3 linked regions of the Arabidopsis thaliana genome follow. The protein of the gene in region 2 interacts with the protein of the main gene of each other region in a pairwise test. Each region holds a gene or a part of one and is shown on either strand. Other genes may lie near its edges.

Region 1 (7,443 bases), on a different chromosome or scaffold from region 2:
ATTTTGTATTTTTGATACGAAAGCCCATAAATTGTGAAGTAAAAAGGCCCAATAGGCCCATAAAATTGGGAGAAGAGACGATCATCGGACAAACCGAGAAAGTGAAACAACAAAGAAGAAACCTGACTCTTCAGAAACTATTCAGGCGAGAGAGAGAGAGAGAAACAATTTTGGACAAGAACAGAAACGATGTACGTTTTCTGTGATCTCAATATTAGATATAGTATTCCAGTTAATCGGAAACAAAGAAGCAACAATTTGCAAATCACGGAGGTTGAACCACTGGAGGAGTTGGATTCAGTCTGGAAGGAAATCCAAGTTAACCAACAACACTTTTAGATAATCGGAACACTATATTCAATGACTATTTTGATTCCAGAGACTGTTTTGCAACCCAAACAGATCCTGATCTCAAGAATAGCTACCAGAGTAGCTATGAAGGCAGCCGTGTATGATGTATCAAGTTCTTCACATCTTCAGGTTCAAAGCTAGTAAACCATTTGAGAATCCATCCCTGGCAACATTCTTTCCTTTCTAAGACATTGAATTTGATGAGCTTTATACATCTTAGGTAATGTTACTGTTGCACCAGAACTTTGTGATTCCGGCAATACCATAATTTAGGAGTTGTAATTAATCTTCCTTGAGATATTATGCTTGTAAAACACATGTTTAATAAGTTATTCAAGACTTTTCCACAAGTCTTGTTGAACGTTTTTGAAGTTGTTGAGAGATATCATAGAAAATTCCAAAAATAATGAATCGCTAGATCAATCTATATCCAAACTGATTATTAAGACCCAGTCAATACACAAATTGCTATTCTAGCAAATGTAAGTGGTGAGGTGCACCTTAGGCTTCAAATGGCCACGGCGGACTGACAAAACCATTTGCGGGATTGGATCTCTTGTTGTTTACCATTCATAAACTGTAGTCTGTGGACCGAAAAAAAAAAAAATCGCCGTAGACAAACTAGCTACTGATTTTACATACTGTAGAAATAAATTTGGTATGGAGCTGACAACATGGTTTAGTCCGCTCCGCCCGTAACATCCATTCAAAGCCTTAACATATAACGTAGTTAACGCGTAGAGTATTTGAGTGTATATATGTATCCCCTAAACACACGTAGTTGCACGAGTGTAGCTTGTGGACACTAACAGTTTCAGTCCACTATCAAGTTGATCGACAAAACATTATGTTGACATACATCAATAGCTTGATCCTACCACTACAACATTGCTATGATGTTTCTCCACTTCTTGTTGTTGTTGTTGTCCTTGCTACTTGTACTCTCTTAGTCTCCCCTAGCTTGGTAATAAAGTTCATCAATAGCCAAATTTAAAGGTTTGGTCCTTGTAAGCTTGACACAACACAAATTAGTTACACATCTTCTTCTCATAGCTCACATTTATTTATATATGTTTTGCATACCCACTCGATTATTAAATAATTAGTTTTGAAGTTCTAGTCAATATTTCATCAAATCATCATCATCATCATCATCACTGTTGTTGTAATTAGTATTAGTATATCAAGTTGGAAAATGGCTTGTCCTCATTTTTCCAACGAGGCAACGACCATGACTTTATTCAATCTTGGTTGTTAAAAAAAACATATCACTGCATAGTTGATGACCACAACTATATTCCACAAGTCTCTCTTTCTGAGATCTAACGATTTGGGCAAACAAAATCATATTTTATTCTTTGTTTTTGAAGTTTATAGATATTTTTTTTTGTAATCAATAATGAGTGTATTTAATACAGTAGATAAATAAGGGTCCTACTTTAGTTTCGCATCACGACAACTCATATGTATACTTTAATGTATTGTTTCATAAATTGTTCCTTCCCATTACTCAATTGACATTTCCATTTAACAACTCTTCCCAATTGTGAAACCTTTATATCCCATTATCAGCTGTTTTAAGTTGACCAAGTTTTTTCTTATGGTCCTCTTCCTATTTTCTTCTTTTGATATACTTTTTTTTTTAACTCTATTTGTTCAAAGTCTTCGTCTTCTTTTTGTTAACATTATTGTTTACATGTTTTTGAAAGAGAGATTATAATTTTTATTAAGAGATTCGTCAAACCTTTGTGTAGAGCACATGCTTTTTTCTTAGATTATTTTGAGATAGGATCAGAAAACAGAGGAAGTGATAAGAGGTTCTTTTTGGGTTTGAAGATGAGTTCAAGAACTGGAGCCTCTTTGCTCCTGATCTTGTTTTTCTTCCAAATTTGTTCTGTTTCGGCACTCACGAATGGTTTAGACGGTGAGTGTGTGTGGATATATACATATACAACCATATAGATGATGAACAGAGTTTTTCCTAATCTTGAATATTGGTGCAGCTTCTGCTTTAAATGCTCTGAAGAGTGAATGGACCACTCCTCCTGATGGTTGGGAAGGCTCTGATCCTTGTGGAACCAATTGGGTTGGAATTACATGTCAAAATGACCGCGTCGTTTCAATGTAAGGCTCTGTAAATTGTTGCTGCTTCTTCCAATAATGCTCTGCAGACTTTTAATGTTGTGTTGCTTATTGTAGATCACTAGGTAACCTTGACTTGGAAGGAAAGCTTCCTGCCGATATATCGTTCTTGTCCGAGTTGCGGATCTTGTATGTCTTTCTTTTTCTTTCTATTTTTCCTTTCACATAAAAATGGTTTTTGGTTGTTTTCATCTTATTATCCAATCTTTGTAGGGATTTGTCATACAATCCTAAATTGTCCGGACCGCTTCCACCAAACATCGGTAACCTTGGGAAGTTAAGGAACTTGTAAGGAAACACACTATCATTAAATCTCTAGTACACAACTTATGTATCACTTTGTCTTATCTCTTATTTTATCTAACTCTTTTTACTCTCCAGGATCCTTGTGGGATGTAGTTTCAGTGGTCAAATCCCTGAGTCCATTGGAACTCTAAAAGAACTTATATATCTGTAAGATTCTGTGGATTCATGTTATTATAAACAGTCAATTGCATTCTCTAAAACCATTAGTATTAATTTTTGTTTCCTCAATACAGCTCCCTAAATTTAAATAAATTTAGTGGAACAATTCCGCCTTCAATTGGCCTGTTATCAAAACTATATTGGTTTGATATAGCTGACAATCAGATTGAAGGAGAGCTTCCAGTTTCTAATGGGACTTCTGCACCTGGACTTGACATGCTTCTTCAAACTAAGCATTTGTATATATAATCCCAAATCTTTCACTTCCGTTTATTATAATCACTCCTTCTAATATAGTAATTGATCTGACTCTCCTTTGCTTTTTTCTTGTAGTCATTTTGGAAAAAACAAGCTTTCAGGCAATATCCCAAAAGAACTTTTCAGCTCAAACATGAGTTTAATACATGTGTAAGCTTCATATTACATTATATAGCTGAGAGATTTCATAAGTTGTGAGTAAGTAACTAACAAAGTGACTGCATTGTTCGTTGTTTTATCGATAGCCTCTTCGATGGAAACCAATTCACGGGCGAAATTCCAGAGACCCTCAGTCTCGTTAAAACGTTGACGGTGTTGTAAGTAGTAATATATATAGTTCAAATTTTTTATTTATCCTAACGTCTATAATTCTTATGTGTTTTTTCTTGGTTCTAGACGCCTTGATAGGAACAAACTCATTGGAGATATTCCTTCATATCTTAACAATCTCACAAATCTTAACGAACTGTAAGTGAGCAACTAAAGATTTGTTCTTTTGTTTGTTGAAAATAAATGAAAATGAGGTACAAGAATTTGTAGTTGAATACATTTCAGGTACTTGGCCAACAACAGATTTACTGGTACTCTTCCAAATTTAACCAGCTTGACCAGTCTCTACACATTGTAAGTTTTTTACATTTATCATCACTACCAATCTCAAACCTTCATTCTTTACCAATCTAATGCCATGATGTGATTGTAAATGTAACAGGGATGTGAGCAATAACACTTTGGATTTCTCACCCATTCCATCATGGATCTCTTCATTACCCTCCCTATCAACATTGTATGAACATCTCTGTCTCTGTCTTGTTCTCCATTTATCTCCCATGTGTATACTTTCTAAGAACAAAGGGTTTTCTTCTTCGCAGAAGGATGGAAGGGATCCAACTTAATGGTCCAATACCAATCTCATTTTTCAGCCCTCCTCAGTTGCAGACTGTGTGAGTAAAAAAAAAAAAAAAAATGAAGCTGGAAATGAACTCAAGAATTATGAACTTTGTACTAAATTGGGATTCTTTTTTTTTTGGACTTTGCAGTATCTTAAAGCGAAATAGTATAGTGGAAAGCTTAGACTTTGGTACAGACGTTAGCAGCCAGTTGGAGTTTGTGGATTTACAATACAATGAAATAACTGATTATAAACCATCAGCTAATAAAGTCCTCCAAGTAATGTATGTATCCTTGTCACTAATCAAACATGACTTCTATTTGTCTCAATCAACTGCTTAAGTGTTTATATATCTACAGATTGGCAAATAATCCAGTGTGTCTAGAGGCGGGAAACGGGCCGAGTTACTGTTCAGCAATCCAACACAATACCTCATTTTCTACACTCCCAACAAACTGTTCTCCATGCGAACCGGGCATGGAAGCGAGTCCCACGTGCCGCTGTGCGTATCCATTCATGGGAACACTCTACTTCCGGTCTCCTTCTTTCTCAGGGTTGTTCAACTCCACCAACTTCTCAATTCTACAGAAGGCAATCGCGGATTTCTTTAAGAAGTTCAATTATCCTGTAGACTCCGTTGGTGTTCGGAACATAAGAGAGAATCCAACTGATCATCAGCTTCTAATAGATCTATTGGTCTTTCCATTGGGAAGAGAGAGTTTTAATCAGACAGGAATGTCACTTGTTGGTTTTGCATTTAGCAACCAGACTTATAAGCCTCCTCCGATATTTGGCCCTTATATTTTCAAAGCTGATTTGTACAAACAGTTCTCTGGTATGATGAACCCTTGTCACACACACAATCAAACTAGAACTAAAGGTTGTTATTGATAACTCATTTGCTCTGCCTTTCTTTTTGTCACAGATGTAGAAGTTTCATCAAAGTCATCAAACAAAAGCATTCTCATTGGAGCAGTAGTTGGTGTTGTTGTTCTTCTACTATTGTTAACAATAGCTGGGATTTACGCTCTTAGGCAGAAGAAGAGAGCTGAAAGAGCAACTGGTCAAAATAATCCTTTTGGTAAGACAACAATATTTACTACTCCCTTGACTAAAATAGCATGAACAAATTTTCTTTGGCATGTTGCAGCTAAATGGGATACAAGTAAGAGTAGTATTGATGCTCCGCAGCTAATGGGAGCAAAAGCGTTTACTTTTGAGGAGCTGAAGAAATGCACTGACAACTTTTCAGAGGCAAATGATGTTGGCGGTGGAGGTTACGGCAAGGTTTGTGTCTTAACAAATGCCTTCAAATGAATGTAACAACTAATGGCCTTAGTTGAAATTCATGATCCCAAATTTTGATGGTTAAATAGGTTTATAGAGGGATTCTTCCTAATGGGCAACTCATAGCAATCAAAAGGGCTCAACAAGGATCTTTGCAAGGAGGGTTGGAGTTCAAAACTGAGATTGAGCTTCTCTCAAGGGTCCATCATAAGAATGTTGTCAGACTCTTGGGCTTCTGCTTTGACCGGAATGAACAAATGCTCGTATACGAGTACATTTCAAATGGGTCACTTAAAGACAGTCTGTCCGGTAAGATCAAACTTCTATCTTCCTCATGAGGATTTCAGATAGTTCTTGGATGCTGAATATGTTAGTAATGCAGGGAAGAGTGGGATTCGATTGGATTGGACAAGAAGACTTAAAATAGCACTTGGTTCAGGCAAGGGCTTGGCTTATCTTCATGAACTTGCTGATCCTCCAATTATACATAGAGACATCAAATCAAATAACATATTACTTGATGAAAATCTAACCGCAAAGGTTGCCGACTTCGGTCTCTCCAAACTTGTGGGAGACCCTGAGAAAACTCATGTCACAACACAAGTCAAAGGAACCATGGTGAGTAGAAAATTTATCCTCCTTTCTCTTTTTTTCTCAAATACATTTTAAACTTACAATATCTTTGTAATCAGGGCTACTTGGATCCAGAGTACTACATGACGAATCAATTAACGGAGAAGAGCGATGTGTATGGGTTTGGTGTGGTTTTACTCGAGCTATTAACCGGTAGAAGTCCGATAGAGAGAGGCAAATATGTGGTGAGAGAGGTGAAGACAAAGATGAATAAATCTCGGAGTTTGTATGACCTGCAGGAGTTGTTGGACACAACGATCATAGCAAGCAGTGGGAATCTAAAAGGGTTCGAGAAGTATGTAGACTTGGCTTTGAGATGTGTGGAGGAGGAAGGAGTTAATAGGCCATCAATGGGTGAGGTTGTGAAAGAGATTGAGAACATAATGCAGCTTGCGGGATTAAATCCTAACTCAGATTCAGCAACGAGTTCAAGAACGTATGAGGACGCAATCAAAGGATCTGGTGATCCTTATGGCAGTGAATCGTTTCAGTACAGTGGGAATTTTCCAGCTTCAAAGCTTGAGCCCCAATGATTGATTATGTTTCTTTTTGTTATTTTGTTATTTCGTAAGTGACTTCATACTTGAAATGCCTTGTGAATGTGGAGTAGCATGATTCTGTTTGATATGTGGTCGCTGATTATAAAGCAGATGAATGGAGAGCCAAACGCAGAATCAAAAACCACCAGATCTTTGGCAATGTCGACACCAGTTTCAAACATAAGAAAAGTAATCAAGCTCAATGTATGATGAATAATTGAATATATTAATTCTTGTTGAGAAGTTTGTGTGGTTTCAAAGATTTAATCCACACATCACACACACTTTTAATTTACTCCAAACCTTTCACATTTATGCATGAGATTATATTACAAATTTATATTACAAATAATTTGTAGTACGTAAGTAAAATTAGTATTAACTAATAAGAAAAAAAAGTAATAAAGTTATTGGGTTTGCAACCTAACACATCAACGATCCCATCGAACAACAACAGTTACATGACCCAGGGTGAATTTATGGTTGTCGTCTCATCTGAGAGCACTCTCTGATCTAGTGTCCTTGTTGTCCACACCTCAAACACGCCCCCAAAATGTATGACATGATTTAACAAAAAATAAAAAGAAACATGATTTAAGACATGTGGTGTGTGGCAACTCTGCCATATATTTCATGGTGAGGTAGCGAACCGGCACCAAGTTTTTCTCGATATGTTTCCTCCATTTACCATTCTTTACGGTAGACTACGGTAGACTCATAACTTTTTTTATACCGGAGTCATATCGTATTAGTTTCTTAAGAGGATTAAAGCACACATATGTTTTTGTGTCTTATTTACTACAAAAAGTCTTTTTACTAAAACACTAACAAAACAAAAATAACATACAAAAAAAATAAGAAAAGTGGTGGGATGTG
Region 2 (4,859 bases):
GGATGAGCAACACTAACATCAAAAGAGAACAAAACAAAGAGCACAAGAGTAGGAATAAGCTTTGAGATAGCCATTTTTGTTACTTGGGAGTTTTAAGATGAGATAGTAGTAAAACGGTGAGGGTTTTTATACTTTAGAGATTCAAGAAGCTAACTGCTCTCAGTTTACCAAATCCTAATTTAGAATGTTAAGATAAAAGAGAGAGACATAGTCAACTTGTCCTTATTATACCTCATTGTTGTCTTTTAGAAGTCCTTGTACCAACTCCAAGAACGAATCCATGTGCCTAACTTCACATGTGATCCCAACAAAACCGCCTTGTACCATTGTTAGGTAAAGCTTCTCAACCATAAGCATCTGCACTGTCTAACCTCTTTGTGTTCTCTGAGAGTTGAAGTTTGAAAATGATGAGTGAACTGCTACATTGAGAAAACAACTCTTACCGAATAAAGATTTTCTCTTCATAAGTTATTTACAAAATCAGACATTTAACTTATATCCATTCTGCATCCAAGTCTTTTAGTCACAAAACAAGACCATAGCAATGCAAATATAGCTTGTTTCAATGCTACAAAAATTTTAGTCACATTGCTTCAACCATATAAACGGCTTTAAACATACACTGAAAGAAAATGTTATGGTAAGTGTTATTACAACGACACAGTTTTTGTGTCTGGTATAGAAAATAACACTGTTGTTTTGTTCTAAGCTTTTAACTTAAGAAGTACAAAAACTAATGCTTTGTTACTATTAAGATACTGCCTAACTCGTCCAAAATAAGCCATGATGTTGAGAATCTGATAGCTGCAAACCAAACAAAGTGTAATACCGGCGATCAAAAACCACCATCATGGTTTGTATAATCACTCACTTTTCTTGGATCCATCGGTTCCATAAGCGGGATTCGCAGTTTCAGATGAAGCTAAACTAGAGTTGTTAGCAGAGGTATCTGATGATGCCTCTGTAATTCCAGCTGAGTACTTTTTGATCCTCAATGAAATCAGAACACTTGACAGTATCCCAAGTACTGGGAAAACATAACCCCAGACCTGACTTTTCTGTTTTCCAGCTACTGAAGCCACAGCCATACCAGCGAGGCTACCGACTGATGCGTTCTGCAGGATCATCGGGAGGCAGCCAATAACCGTGGGGAACAGAAAATCAGCTACAAACCGGACTTCAGTAGCTGCCAAAGCGTAGTTTATGACATAGGAAGGAATGGGCGAGAACCTTGCAAGAAGAACAAACTTCCAACCATCGCGCTCAACTCCTCTTGAGAGAATATTGAAGTACTTGTTGCTATGCGCCCACCCTGTAGCTCTGGTGGAACTCTTAAAAACAAACCTGAAAATTCAAAAAAGTATGAGAGAATGCAAGTGCTCCCAATAGATAGATAAATAAATAAAACTGCATATCACATTGCTAAGGTTAATCAACATCCTAGTTGCATTCTCCTACATATATTAATTGGCAATTAGAATCACAGCATGCATTTAACAATTAGTCCATACATATCCATCACATACACAAGAAAACAACCAATCTCATCCACACACCATTATAGAATAGGAAGACATGCATCTTCTCCGCCTTTTTGGCGAATAACGGTGTTAGTTTTCCTCTGAACAGCCAAAATGACATCATTTCTTTACACAAAGATCCACTTCCTATAATGCTTAGAGTAGAATGGATTTTCGTGAAAACTTCTGTATACGGAGGTTTCAGCGATAGCAGGACAATCAAAACCAACAAAAGAGTTTATTCTACATCTCCAAGTAAAATCTCAGAAATCGATAACTTAAACTAAATCAGAGTGTTACTAATGAAGCATATAGTTTCTATGAAGCCATGTAAAAATCCAGCATAAATGTGAATATTGCAAATCATTCCCTAGCATATATTAACAAGCAAATGACAAGCATCTAACGGTTCTTTACATCTCCGTCACATACACAAGACAACAACCACTCTTATCCAAACACCATTATAGAATCTGAAGACATCCATCTAAATCTCGCAAGAAAATATCATGCATCTTCTCCGCCTTTTTGGTGAACAACGGTGTTATCTTACCGCTGAATAACCAACAATGACACCATTTCTTCACACAAACATTCCCTTCCTATCATTCATGCTTACAATTTAATGGATTTCAATAAACGTTCTGCAAAAGGTTTCAACAATGGTGCACTAAAGAAAAATCTAAACCATCTCCAAGTAAAACCTTAAGCATTCACAAAACACGATAACATAAACTAAACCAGAGTGTATTACTAATGAATCATATACTTTCTACGAAGCCAAGATAAGCCATGTGAGAATCATTGTTCTAAATCCAAATCATTTCGATCAAATTCGTACATTAGCGACACAAACTAACGATCCAACAGATCAATTTGAATCACATAACAGTGCAATTGAGAAGCAGACCTGCCGATCCAGAAGGAGAAAGAAGCGGCGAGAACTTTAGCAGAGAAAACACAGAGAAGAGCAGGAAGGAAACCAAAGAGCATAGAAGCACCAGCTTCAAAGAAGACGGCGTGAGGGAGACAAAGAGCTAAGGTTATTGTGTGAACCGCTACATACGTTGGAATCGCCCAAATCCCCAGCCGATCTGACCATTCCTTTAGCTTTTCCAACGCCGCCTCTTTGTTCCATCCGTATTGTGTCGTGCCTTGTCTAACGATTATTGCAATTATCGCCACCGTCGCTGCGATTGCTAACCATTTCTTCATCACGGAGCTCTGAGATGAGAAGAGAAGAAAGCGTGAAATGAAATGGGGGAACTGGTTTTTGGTAATTGTCGAAAGTGATTTTTGAAAAGGGTAAATTGCAAGTTGAATCCTCAAAACTGCAATGTTTTGGAAATATACCCTTGATCTTCTAAAATTGCAAAATGAGACTATTCAACTCTCCACAATATAACACTAATTGACTAATTACAAGAAAAAATTATCAAAAGTGAAAACTTGACAATCACGATTTATTTTCTATAATTTTTCATTTAAATTATTATTAATATTATGATTGATGTATTTAAAATCAATAAAAGTTTATAATATTAGGAAAATTAAAATAATATGCGATGAGTTATATTCCGAGACGGAGTTATATGGCGGAACGGATTTGAAACAATATTAATAAGTAAATAAAACATCATTAACCTACTACTTTAATACAGATGAAATTCTTATTTTATTATTTATTAATATCACTAGTGTTAGACATATAACATCTGTCTAATTAATATAAGATTGTACAAAACAAACTTCTTATGTGGTATATCGTTACTTAATGACAATTATAAAATATAAATATAAATATAAATATCATATAAATGATACAAATTACAAGTATCCTACTATATTATTTGGGAAGTACATTTTAAATTTAACCTTAATTTTTGTAGTTAATTACATGACAATGCCATTAGAAAAATTTAATCAAAAACAAAATCCTTTAATGACGTCATTAATTACCAAAATCTTTTAACGACAATATCCTCTTATTATTAAAAGGGAAGTACAAATTGAAATTTTGTCTAATTTGGCCTCAATTTTGATTTCAATTTTGGATTTTGTTCTTTGCTATTCAAAATCATTAAGGGTAATTTGGTCTTAACAATCTCCTAAACTTGATATGATCCGATTCAATCTAAACCGTTCAATAATTTTAATTCACTTCAATCTAATCCGTTCAACAAAAATAAGTAAATAACAAAAGAAAAATTAAACACATTTTAACACATTCTTCTTATCACTAAATAACAACCAAAAAAAAATCTCAATTATTATTTAGTTATGTCTGATTAAAAAATTTATATTTATAAGTTTAGGATATCAAATTTATTCAAATATTTAGTATAAGAACCAAATAAACCGATTGCCCGCGGTAAACCGCGGGTTAAATCCTAGTTCATCTCTTAATTATAGGGCTTATTTGATTTAAAGACGGGTCATCAAAGATTTCCTAAACTTAAGCAAAATATACTGAATATTCAAATATCTATCTGTTACCAAATTATAAACAAATAAGTTCGTAAAACAATTTAATATTTTATATACGAAATCAACTAAATCTTAATCACATAAAAATTAGCACAAAAAAGTATTCAACAATTAAAAAATTATCAAATCTCTGTGTTATATAAGTTTTTATACTATATTCGAATAAAGTGTAATATATCTTTTTAATTTGTATTCTTTAACTAATTTAAGCTAACTAATATATTTGCTAATCTTATACCTATCAAAACCGACTATCGTTTCTTATCTCTATAGTATTTTTGCAAGACTTTTTTGGTGGATTTGGGTAAAAGTGCATTCGGGTCATATGGTACATTCCCCTATTAAATAAATATGGTGCACTTCTATGTTATTAGCTAAAATGTTTAGATTATAATTTAGAGTCATATCATAAATAAAATTAATATTAATAAAATAAATGGCTTTTTGGCAAGATGGATTTGGAGGGACGGGTTTTTGAATCAACATTAATAAAAAAAGTAAAATATAATTAAATCACCGTTTCAATACGGGTTAAATCTTTAATTTATTATTTTTTAAGACCATTAATATTAAACATATCAAATCATCCTAATTTAGAAAAGATTATATAAAACCAAAAATGTTATGTGGTATGTATAATGTTAGTATATATAAAATTAAACTATAAAATATAAAACTTTAAGCTAAAAATTGTGGTAACAATTATAAACTGTAAAATATAAATATTTTATAAGAATAAAATTTGCAAGTTTCAATATATCTTACTTTTAAAAAATAAATCGTCCCGCGATATACCGCGGATTAAAATCTAGTTTAAATATGATACACAATCATAAAATTTTAAAATTTAAT
Region 3 (4,103 bases), 9.3 Mb from region 2:
CCGTCATCTCTCTCCTCACAATCGGCATCTTTCTTCCCTTCTACGACCGCGTTTTTGTACCATTCATGCGGCGAATCACCGGCCATAAATCCGGAATCACACTCCTCCAAAGGATAGGAACAGGGATCGTTTTCGCGATCTTTTCTATGATCGTTGCGGGCATTGTGGAGCGTATGAGACGCATACGCTCCATCAATGCCGGAGATCCAACGGGAATGACTCCAATGTCGGTGTTTTGGCTTTCGCCGCAGCTAATTCTCATGGGACTATGTGAAGCATTCAATATCATCGGACAAATTGAGTTCTTCAACAGTCAGTTTCCAGAGCACATGAGAAGTATCGCTAACTCTCTCTTCTCTTTATCGTTCGCCGGTTCGAGCTACCTTAGTAGTTTCCTTGTGACTGTCGTTCATAAATTCTCCGGTGGGCATGATCGTCCGGATTGGCTAAACAAGAATCTCAACGCGGGAAAATTGGATTACTTCTATTATCTGATTGCGGTTTTGGGTGTGGTTAATCTGGTTTACTTTTGGTATTGTGCTCGGGGATACCGGTACAAGGTCGGTTTACCGATTGAAGACTTTGAGGAGGACAAGTCCTCCGATGATGTTGAGATGACTTCGAAGAAATCGATGAAATGATTTAATAGACTATCCTTAGGGACAACAAGAAGATTGTCGATGTTGTTTGAATAATTACTATGACAATGTATGTATCATAATATGTAAGAACTAGAATATTTAATAAAATTTTACCTTTCATTATGTAGAAGTGTTAGATATAGTTCACAGTTTTGTCTTATTTTATAACTTTGTCATCATACTCTCTGCCTGGAATCAGAAAACCATCTCTAACAAGTATATTTAAAATCATAAAAGTAATCTAGTTAGATGGATTGCATTTGGAACTATATCATATACACTATGTTATGACTTGATAGAAATATAAACAGTATAGTTTTAATTGATCATTTCTATGGAGGATCACGTTATTAGGCATAGTTTCATCCTTTATCGATTACGGACGGTAAATGAGTACAACCCAACTAATATGTTGTAAAGAAAAGCTACTACTGCTATTACTGTTAATATTAATATTAGACTTCTTGGGTACATAAAAAAAAAAAAAATATATATATATATATATATCATATTAGACTTCTAGAACACCAAGTCCAAAACATATTTGGCATGAAGCAAAAATATCTACTGCTTTATTTTGTGTCTACCTCTTTGCCACATGCTGTATATTCCATCATTCATTTAACCTACAATTGAATTCCGTTTTAACGTTTATTCACTCAATTAATATATTGGGGTTTGACAAAAATAAATAACTAGTATATAGGTTTGTATGCTTTTTTACTGTTAGCTAATAAATAGAAAATCCAAAAGAAGCTTTCATACAAAATCAACTAAATTAAAATGAAAAGTTATAAGGGAATCATATATTGTGAAAGATTTGGAATCCTTTTTTCACGGCTGTAAAAGGGTCAAACACTTCTGCTGCCACCATTGTTGTCTCTCTTGCGAGTCTAAAAAGTAACTCACACTAACGAAAAAAAAAAAGATAGAAGAGAGATAGCTGTGGATATCACGTTGAACTTAAAATTTAGGTTGCATAATCAGTGGATGGATAAATAAATAGAAATAAATTATATCCTAAACTTAAAACAAACAATATAATAAAACGTTTTATACAATTCCAGATTTATTCAATATATTGGATATGACTCATGCGATAGATATAGCGTAAGACAGCTATTTAGAATTCCAATTATAACTTTATAGTTTTCACGAACTGATTCTAGACAACTTGATTTTTAATTTGGACTTTAAGATTACTAAAGTAGGTTTACATGCAACTTTCCGCTTACTTCATATGATAGTTTTGCGCTACAACTTAGAGCCAATAGAAAATGTAGTGTTAAAATTGGTTACGAATTACGGCTACTTGGTCCACCAGAGAATATTTGACGTTATATATAAAAGCCAACTCTTCCGCTCTCCTTGTGCTCAAACTAAGAGCTTCTACTCAAAACCATTTGCTTCTTTCTGCTTAGAGAGAGAGAGAGACACACTCAATGGGTGCTAACGTTTCTACTCCAGACCAGAGATTTCAGGTAACCCACTTCCGTTCAACGAAGCCATGGACACCTCGACCTGAGATTTATCCTTTCAAAGTCAACAGTCCTTGTATTGTGGAGATCAAGAACATGAATCAGTGGAAATCTAGGCTCAACGCTCTTAAAGACACCAACAAGCTGGTAATATATTGACTAATGCGATCTATAATCTAAGTTAAGCCATTTTTGCTTTAGATTCTATTTTTAAAATTTTAGAAAAGTATTCGAACTAGGGTTCTTATAACCAGATTCGAGACATTTATAACATAACAATAATGCATTAACTTATATGAACTTCCAACTCAATCTAAATGGTAAATAAGTAGTTTGGTCCATATTCATCATATTCCAGATCTCAGTTTAAAGATGAGGTGAGATTTTGAACACAACTCACAAGATAATGACTCTTCTGGCTCATCTAAAAAAAAACTCGCTCTAAAGTCGAATCATATCCCTTTTGGATCATTCTATCGAGTCAAAGTTAGGCTATTATAGTTGGCTGCAAATGGTTACATATTTCAGTGAAACAAAAATCCTCTCAAATTTTACAGTTTGGGATTCAAAAAAAGAAGAGTGAAATAAATTATGCATCCCATTCAACGTTAGTTGGATGAGCAAATCAGAGAAAAATGAGATAAACCAGTTGAAAATTATCACTCGCAAGTTATTCAACCAATTACTCTTTTTATCTTATTATTTTGAGGGACAACCATATTACTCTAGGTTTCTTCTTATTTTCGAGTTGAAACTCCTAGCACAATGCAACTAACCTTGCTCTTAGGCTTAATTTGAAAATATCATAATGAACATTCACTTTTCATGTTTTTTATATAGCTGGTGATCGAGTTCACAGCTAAATGGTGTGGACCATGTAAAACCCTTGAACCAAAGCTCGAAGAGTTGGCTGCTAAATACACCGATGTTGAGTTCGTGAAGATTGATGTCGATGTCTTAATGGTAATAAATAATCATTCTCCTTTTCTTCATCTTTTTTCTCAAAGTCTAAAGAAAAGGTTTCAACAAAATTTGTGTTTGCTTTTGAGTTATAAAATAGTGTTTGGTTGATATACAGAGCGTGTGGATGGAGTTCAACCTTAGCACTTTACCTGCGATTGTATTCATGAAAAGAGGCCGAGAAGTAGACATGGTTGTGGGTGTGAAGGTTGATGAGTTAGAGAGGAAACTCAATAAATACACACAATCCTTCTTCTGAACGTTGAATTCCTAACACGCCAAACAAAACTCCTCATCACCTTACGCCAAGAATATATAGTTTACTACTATGTATAGATAAAATGTTTGAACGACGATTCAACAAAATAAAACTTGTTTGTGTTGTAAAGGAATTGGATGTTGGATTTGCTATGTACGTGTCTCATGTAATATAAAATATATGATCAGCGATTTGTATCGTTTTTTCTATCTTTCATATGATTTTTTGAAATAAGTCAATAGCTCTTTAGTAGAAGAACAATTTAGTAACACATTTTATCAAAGTGGGAGAGTTGGTGAAGACTTGCGCAATGATTGGGTTACACTTTAATATTTAAAAAAAAAAAAAAAACTTTTATAGTACAAACAATTTTTTATGGCGAATTCACATAAAAAATGGGAGGACGAAACTTAAATGCTTCGTTTACAAAATAAGCTTATGTACAATAAAATGAAAGATTAAATCAAATCCACAATAATAGTCTATCTGAACTTTCTATGATTAATTCCACACTCGTATCTAATGGAGGCAACTAGGCAAGGACCAAACTCTCAATCTTGAGCCTAATACTTCAACTACTAGTCTACTTATATAATACATTCGAAATAAAGGGGAACCACACAGCTTGCCGTTAAGTACTTGAGGGTACTAGAATGACATGCATTGTTCCACTATTAGGTGGAAGTTGCAAACGAAGAGGAAACAGCTTGCCGTTTGAAGGATGGCGTGTACAGACCACAACATCATCCATACTAGTCTCTTCTT

Evidence for each region.
Region 1: the proteins of AT1G44960 (region 2) and AT5G49760 interact in a protein complementation assay, tested with the Arabidopsis thaliana proteins (one large-scale study listed by BioGRID).
Region 3: the proteins of AT1G44960 (region 2) and TH8 interact in a protein complementation assay, tested with the Arabidopsis thaliana proteins (one large-scale study listed by BioGRID).

The regions. Positions count from the first base shown.
Region 1 is NC_003076.8:20,214,492-20,221,934, forward strand, and holds AT5G49760 (Leucine-rich repeat protein kinase family protein), read left to right. Parts: upstream 1-1,840; 5' UTR 1,841-2,187; coding exon 2,188-2,275; intron 2,276-2,354; coding exon 2,355-2,475; intron 2,476-2,550; coding exon 2,551-2,622; intron 2,623-2,706; coding exon 2,707-2,781; intron 2,782-2,874; coding exon 2,875-2,946; intron 2,947-3,032; coding exon 3,033-3,197; intron 3,198-3,291; coding exon 3,292-3,366; intron 3,367-3,461; coding exon 3,462-3,533; intron 3,534-3,612; coding exon 3,613-3,684; intron 3,685-3,771; coding exon 3,772-3,840; intron 3,841-3,928; coding exon 3,929-4,003; intron 4,004-4,088; coding exon 4,089-4,160; intron 4,161-4,256; coding exon 4,257-4,391; intron 4,392-4,467; coding exon 4,468-4,943; intron 4,944-5,033; coding exon 5,034-5,189; intron 5,190-5,258; coding exon 5,259-5,395; intron 5,396-5,484; coding exon 5,485-5,704; intron 5,705-5,777; coding exon 5,778-6,013; intron 6,014-6,087; coding exon 6,088-6,561; 3' UTR 6,562-6,891; and 1 more. UniProt on the Arabidopsis thaliana protein: Leucine-rich repeat receptor protein kinase that acts as sensor of extracellular hydrogen peroxide. Required for intracellular calcium influx in response to extracellular hydrogen peroxide.
Region 2 is NC_003070.9:16,997,452-17,002,310, reverse strand, and holds AT1G44960 (SNARE associated Golgi protein family), read right to left. Parts: upstream 2,866-4,859; 5' UTR 2,736-2,865; coding exon 2,431-2,735; intron 1,345-2,430; coding exon 864-1,344; 3' UTR 577-863; downstream 1-576. Other genes in the region: AT1G44970 (Peroxidase superfamily protein), read right to left, coding at 1-74.
Region 3 is NC_003070.9:26,319,457-26,323,559, forward strand, and holds TH8 (thioredoxin H-type 8), read left to right. Parts: upstream 1-1,941; 5' UTR 1,942-2,083; coding exon 2,084-2,266; intron 2,267-2,959; coding exon 2,960-3,082; intron 3,083-3,197; coding exon 3,198-3,338; 3' UTR 3,339-3,546; downstream 3,547-4,103. Other genes in the region: NRT1.7 (nitrate transporter 1.7), read left to right, coding at 1-641; AT1G69890 (actin cross-linking protein (DUF569)), read right to left, coding at 3,970-4,103. UniProt on the Arabidopsis thaliana protein: Probable thiol-disulfide oxidoreductase that may be involved in the redox regulation of a number of cytosolic enzymes.